2 linked regions of the Kluyveromyces lactis genome follow. The protein of the gene in region 1 interacts with the protein of each later gene in a pairwise test. Links are inferred from orthologs where the notes say so. Each region holds a gene or a part of one and is shown on either strand. Other genes may lie near its edges.

Region 1 (3,840 bases):
AACTCTGACGAGATAATTGATCAAATCTTCTTTCCATTCCGGTAGACTGAGATAGAATCATATCAGGAACGTATTGTTCCGTTCCTTGTGTTTCAGAGTCGATATTAGAACCATTCAGAGCAGTGTTGTTGCTATCAGGAATCATATTGCCATTCTTACTGGAGGAGGAACTGTCATTACTATGGGGATCCTCAGGAAACTGTTCATCAGTTACAGCGCCAGCTTTTGCGAATGAATATCGCTTAGGATCATCACTACCAATATCCTCATTTGCTTTTTCGTTTGTTGCTGTATGTGTAATTCCGTCAATAATATCTTCTTCAGTATAACGACGCACTCCTTCATCGACGGCAGTGTTCGCTGCTATAATATCCTCATGCTCCGTAGTTTCCACATTATAAGATTTCTGCAGATTACCGTTTCCATTATTGAAATCAAACATATGTTGCCTGTGGCGTCTTAGACTATTCGTGTTCGATATAGTGTCCTGATTGCCAGGGTCAATAAGGTCATCTTCCCTGTCAGGAGCGTCAATTTTGTCATTATCCATTGGGCTCACAGCTCTTGATGAAATATGATCATCATCTGCATCAACTCTGTTTCTAAGCCGTGACGGTGGTTTATAGCTCAATGGCCTTTGTAGAGGTCTACCAGAATCCACTCTTAACCCAGCTCTGTCCTGAAAATCATTGATGCTATGCATCGAGTTCCTCTGAGTTGTTGAATTTTTGCCCGTTCCATTTATTGTCTCATCATCTGATGCATCATCTCCTTCTATATCGGTGAAAGACTCTACCTCTTCATCAGTCATAGAATCGTTATCCCCAGAATCGTGAAGATCTAGGATGACGGACTTGGAGTTCCTATCACTAATTAGGCCCTTATGCTTCATGCTGTGACTATTCTGGTGTAGCACAACTGGATGAGATGATGTTCTTACCAATGCCGTCATACTGAGACCACTGTGTACCGTGCGTCTGTTCAATGAGTCCGAACTCTTCGATTTCTTCATAGGATCGAAAAGTCCTCTATTCAATGCATCGTGGCTTCCTACCTTGTGTAATTTCTGTAAGTTCTTGAAACTGGTGTTGCTCTTGCTCCTAGATTTTGCAGAGAACTGTTTAGGTTTTCCATGTCCTTTCTTCTGCTTCATATACTGTGATAGACTGGTATCTGAATTAGTCTTCACAGGCTTCACACGGGAAATTGTGGCCATTGTTGTAAAGAATAGCCAGTAGCCTCAACTTAAGAATTATTACCTTGACTGTACAGAATTGTGGAAAAATTGCTATTTCCCACCTAAATGTAAAGTTTGGAATCACAGGCTATAGCAAGATTGTTGTTCCTGTGTTTGTTTGTAGTTAAACAAAGATGGATTGATGTGTGCCAGAATCTTAGTTTCAACTCTTTTTGAAAATAAGTATTAAAGGAGAAATGACCTTAAACTTTTGCATGGAACAAAGTAGCAGTGAGAAACGGTAGATTAAGGCTGCTGTAGCGCGTGCCAACGGTGAATCAGCAATTAAGATATCCAAGTTCTTTTGAAATTGAGAGGATAGAGCACTTTTTCGTAATGAATTTGTTTACGGTTGGTGATTATTATATCAGCAGAATCGCAAATTTCCAGTCCAAACCGTCGGACACCTCGATACAGGAGAAGTCGAGAGTAAAGGCATTGATTTTGGATAATGACACACTCTCTACGATATCGATGTGTACTACTCAAACCGAGCTATTAAAGCACGAGATTTACTTGGTCGATAAACTTGAGAATATTCACAGAGATCCAATGCCACATTTGAAATGTTTATGCTATTTGAAACCCACTGAGGATACGATTCAAGACCTATTACACGAATTACAGGATCCCAAGTATGGCGAATACCAGATTTTCTTCAATAACCAGGTGAGTAAGTCCCAGTTGGAACGGTTAGCCGAAAGAGATGATATGGAGGTTGTCACACATGTAGAAGAAGTTTTCCAAGACTACCTAATTGTGAACGAGGATGTCTTCACTTTAGAGATCCCGTTGTACAATCTTCTCCAAAATCAATTGGTATGGGATCCAAAGGGATTGCAGGAGACGTCTAACGGGTTAATCTCATTGCTACTATCGTTAAAACTAAATCCGACAATTGCGTATGACTCGGATAGCAAATTGTGTCAAAAGTTAGCTAAGGATTTAGAGTATGAAATTAAGACAAATGAAAGGCAGTTATTTGATTTTCCCGTCAGAGATTCGAATCCGTTACTAATTTTACTTGACAGGAAATCGGATCCATTGACACCATTACTTCAACCGTGGACCTATCAATCGATGATAAATGAATATATCGGAATAAAAAGAAACTTGGTAGACCTTTCGAATGTACCAAATATCGATCCCGATTTGAAGCAGGTTGTACTCTCTTCAAAACAAGATAAGTTCTTCAAAGAAACAATGTATATGAATTTTGGTGATTTGGCAGATAAGGTGAAGAACTATGTTACTCAGTATAAAAATAAGACCAACATTACCAAACAAATCAATACGATAGAAGATATTAAAGAGTTCATCGAAAAGTTCCCCGAATTTAAGAAACTCTCAGGCAACATTTCAAAACATATGGCCATTGTTAGTGAATTAGATAGGCAATTACAACTGAAGAATATATGGGAAGTCAGTGAGCTAGAGCAAAACCTCTCTTCACATGATGACAATAACGATGACTTTGTAGAACTGAAGAGAATTCTAAACTTACCAACCTTAGAATCATATTACAAATTAAAATTATGCTGCATTTTTGTTCTACGACACGGCAAGAACGAATCTAGAGTTTCTGAGTTGGAGAATATTCTAAGACAACAGTGTGATCCCACACAAATTTCTCTTTACTTTCAATTTAAACAGAGATTTGGGTCAATATTCAATAAACACAAAGCTCCTCAGGACAATGATTTGATTAGTGGATTAACCAAGAAATTCAACAGATTAGGCAGCACCAGCGCTGAAAATGTGTTTATGCAACATGTTCCTGAATTGACAACACTTCTCAGCGATTTGGATAAAAACAAGTTCCCACAAGAGGGAGTGACTCTTTTAAACCAAAATATTGACCCTAAGACATATATGCCACAAGATGTTGTTATATTGATCGTCGGAGGCCTCACTATAGAAGAAGCGCGCGCAGTACATCAATTCAATGAGAAACAGAGTAAAAATAAGGACAATTGCAGAGTTATCATTGGAGGAACCTCGATTATTTCTACAGAGCAATTTTTAACAGATGTTTGCGCCGTTAATGATAAACCAGTTGACTTATTATGAACTTACGTATGTACTTCAGATGTAGAATTAGGTAAGGAAATGTATGAAACAAGAAAAGAACACTCTCTATCATGCTTTTAAGAAGCTGGACTAAACTTTTGCTCCCAAAGCAGTAATTTCCTCGTTAGCTCATCCATCGTTTTGAAGGATTCGTCGTAACTGGAGAATATTTTATTAATATTTTCCAGGAATTCTTCGTTTTCCACAAACTGGCACAACTGATCCCGTTGACGTTGGTCATTAGATATTTCTAACTGTGTCCTTGAGATAAATTCCAGAATAGCGTTAACTCTTCTTCTCATTTCATGCATAGTGGTCCTCTGAGAGGGAATCCTGGGTTTTAGAGGCTTGTTGATTCCGATATCATTAGATTGTCCATTAGATTTCGACAAGTTTGAACTTCCAGAGGAACCCGATCCTTTTGAGCTGCTAGCTTTAGAATTCCTTGCAACTCTTCCACTTGAGGTCTTGTAAATCCTTGAGTTACTTTGCGTGGTTGAACCATTGCTCTTACCTCTTCTTGATCTTTTTGA
Region 2 (3,383 bases), on another chromosome or scaffold:
CTTCAACTTCTTAATGAAACCCGTATTCCTCTTAATACTAGAATCAAGTTTCTTGGCTTTATCAGGGAATACGTCAATCCCGGTCCACGCCATACTGTTAATTTCATTCAAGCTTGATCTCCATTCATTCTAAACACAAATTCAATCCATAAAAGCAAGGCTTTCTGTTAGTATTCTCGAAAACTCTCGACCACTTAAAAGCGTACACATACGTTCATTATGTTATTTGACGATTGGATAGGTTCAAAGTCGGTGCGTAAAGTTCTTGCTGTCGCTGTGACGTGATTTCAACAGAACTTTTGTTCGATGACTTTGGTAGAATTAACATTTCACAGGATTTTTTTTTTATTCAAAGGGCTTTCTCATACTGGCATCTCGACAATAAGTTACAGAGCGAAACGGATAGAGTTTTGGTTGCATTTATATTATCGTGCTTGTGATAGAAGAGTGTTTATATGGTTCAATAGAATATACACCTAATTGAGTGTTAAATAATAATTTTAAAAGCCTTCATCACCTAGCTTACTTTCTAAATGCACTATGTTCTGATCAATTTCTGAAAGATTAGTTTTCAAGGATATCGCTTCCTCGAAGCGCCTTTCCTTGGCAGCTGAATTAAGCATATTTTCGACTAAGTATCGTTGTTCATTCAAAACCATAAGTTCTTCTCTGTACTTCTTTACTTCCGCAATTGTTAAATTATTGAACAAAAGATCCGATGATGTTGTGACTTCTACTTTCTGTGACACAGGGTTCAAGATTTCTGGTATTTTTTTCAAGGGTAGCATTTTCTCCTCGATGAACGCTGATGCATGTAGGGCAATTGACTGTTGTATTTTCTTCTCTGCTGTTGATTTTGTATCCAACTGAACAATGCTTTTTGATAATTTGTCATAAAGCGTTAAATTTTGTAATAGCTTTCTTCTTAATTGTGCTAGGTTTTGAATCGCAGTCTCATCTGAAGCGGGTGCATTATGTATCGAATCTAATGCTTTCTGGAATCTGGGGAGTAAATTTACTACAAGCGTTTCGAGGTTGTGGAGATTTTCGTACTGTTGTAAAATTTCCGGTAGTTTCAATGCCTTACTAAATTGGAGCTTACGCTTTGCAAAGACATACCTCAGACAGGAGGAACAAATTCTAACTCCTGTAGAAAGGTCTGATATTGCTTTTAAGTTCCCGACATTCTCGAAGGAAAGGTCTGGGGCCGCACTCATCAGGTTCAGGACTGGAATATCGCTGGAACATCGAGTTTCTTGTCTATCGCACACGATCTGACCGCATAATCTACAATGATGTTTCCGCATCAAGAGTCCAAACGGCTGAGAGCATATGCCGCATTGGGTTGCCATTTGATCATCCTTCCACTCTACGATTGATCGTTCCAAAGCTATAATTCCTGCTCTGATCCTGAACGTTGCAAAGACCGATGACTGATGTCGTACATGTAATTGAATTATCCCATTTATTAGTCTCAATAGCCTGTTTTCTAGCTGCAAAGTGATAAGTTCTCCATCCTCGTTCTTCAACTTTCTTATCTTAGCGAAAGCTTGTGTTATATTTCTAGTCAGTCCGTAGTCATTGTAACCTTTCCTATTGATATAACACTTGTGACAACATTTACACCATACATTGCTCGCCGGATCGTATTCACCGTTTTCATTCAACTTGATGGCATTTCTACAATGCCTTAAACAGAAAAGTTCGCCGCATTTGCGGCAATTGATCATACCGTTTCTGGCGTTTAACTTACAACCGCACTCAAAACATACCGATTTGCCTTCTACTGGTTTCTTCCAGTGAGATGTATTCATCTTTAATTTCCCCTTACTCTGTCTTTCATGAGTCCTTTCTTGAACCAATGTGTTCAAACCAATGACACTTGACTCTCTTGAGCTATCGACATCGGACGCACTTTCATCGTTAAAACCGTGTACATTGTCCAAGTGGACGTTGAGCTTTCTCAAACTCTTCAACTCATTTCCGCAAACTGGGCAAGTTACGGCCTCGACATTTCTATCATGTTGTCCAGTCGAACTCGCCGAGCCCAACCACCTTCCATTTCCTTCTGTCATTGGGCTTTATAAATAGATATACTACCTCACCATCATAAATCCCATGGAAAGGAACTAGCTTGAATAATCCAACTGTGAGACTTAGTTCCTTCCTCCCCTTAGGAATAAAAGCTTCGAATCGTTAACTTTCGTTTCATGCTTTTCAAATGCAATTAAAGAGAACATTAAGCTTGACGATCTAACAAAACCTTTGCGTAATGGTATGAGACACGTTACATTAGTCTATACAACACTTATTACTACTCCGAACGGATCAACGTGTTTAAGCCAATTGATCCTTGATGATATGTTCATTCTGCTGTTTTGTCTATTAACGTTTTGGTTGGTTTTCGATAGATCATATCATGTACTATGGTTTAAAATCCAGAAGTTATTTGATATTCTACCATCTTCTACATTAACGAACAATGAGTCAGATCCTGCTACTGTGATATCTTTGCCAGATTCAAACAGTAGCTTCTTTCACAAGTTCTATTCCGAGTATTCGTTGTCTTCTAGAAAGGTTTACAATGCAGTACGAGTCATATTTTGTGCTACATTTTCTGCTTACGTTGTAGCAGTTGAAATTGTATTATGGCAGATAAAAGTAGCAGACCCCAATGCCGAGGCTAACTTGGTGACGTCAATTATATGGCCAGGCTTGTTAGCTTTATTGTTCATCTCATTGATTTTGATACAACCTTTCCTGATACTGGTGTTCTTGTTGACGAAATTCTTCGAAGACAAGGTCAGCATGCACAAATTAGTGCCGGTAACCATTGGCATTACTATTCTATGGCTAACTTTCTTGCATTTCCTTACCATTGGACCGTTTGGCTACACATATAATCTATTGACTAAGGCATCAGTGATCGGTGTGACTGTAATGGGAATTTTGTCCGGATTGGCATCAGTCTCCACACCGTATTATGCCTATCAATATTTTAGACATCGGAACAAAAGAGATACAAAATACACTATACATAACAATGTTGATCTGTTGTGGTCTAGTGAGTCTGTGATACGGGATCGAATCAGGAATTATGAAGAATGTATTGAGAAAGATACCTCGTTGTTGTGTAGGCTCACTTCTTCCTCAAACCAAGCTGACATCATGACCACAGTACAACTGAGAGAACGAATTGCATGGTATCAACTTGAACTGGTGAAATTAAGCGGTATCTTGCAGGGTCCAAAAGAGCTTAGGAGTTTAAAGCGGATGTTTCAGGTGATTTTTTTGGTTTACTGTGTTTATAAATTGACTGACGTGTGGCTTGTAAAAGTGCCTAAAATTATAGTACACTCATTTAAGTTTCCAACAGATTTTAG

Evidence for each region. The genes of interacting proteins can lie anywhere in the genome.
Region 2: the proteins of VPS45 (region 1) and PEP7 interact in binary tests that used the Saccharomyces cerevisiae proteins (3 or more experiments, as listed by UniProt). The link is inferred for Kluyveromyces lactis from reciprocal best matches to the Saccharomyces cerevisiae genes VPS45 and PEP7.

What each region holds. Positions count from the first base shown.
Region 1 is NC_006041.1:1,671,808-1,675,647, reverse strand, and holds VPS45 (Vps45p), read left to right. Parts: upstream 1-1,573; coding exon 1,574-3,307; downstream 3,308-3,840. Other genes in the region: TCO89 (Tco89p), read right to left, coding at 1-1,216; CTI6 (Cti6p), read right to left, coding at 3,385-3,840. UniProt on the Saccharomyces cerevisiae protein: Essential for vacuolar protein sorting. Function in membrane traffic between the Golgi and the vacuole.
Region 2 is NC_006040.1:1,128,055-1,131,437, forward strand, and holds PEP7 (phosphatidylinositol-3-phosphate binding protein), read right to left. Parts: upstream 2,076-3,383; coding exon 501-2,075; downstream 1-500. Other genes in the region: NMD2 (Nmd2p), read right to left, coding at 1-129, 213-218; KLLA0_D13200g (uncharacterized protein), read left to right, coding at 2,278-3,383. UniProt on the Saccharomyces cerevisiae protein: Required for vacuole segregation and vacuole protein sorting. Possibly part of a complex which tethers the vacuole membrane to microtubules, either directly or via kinesin or dynein-like motor proteins.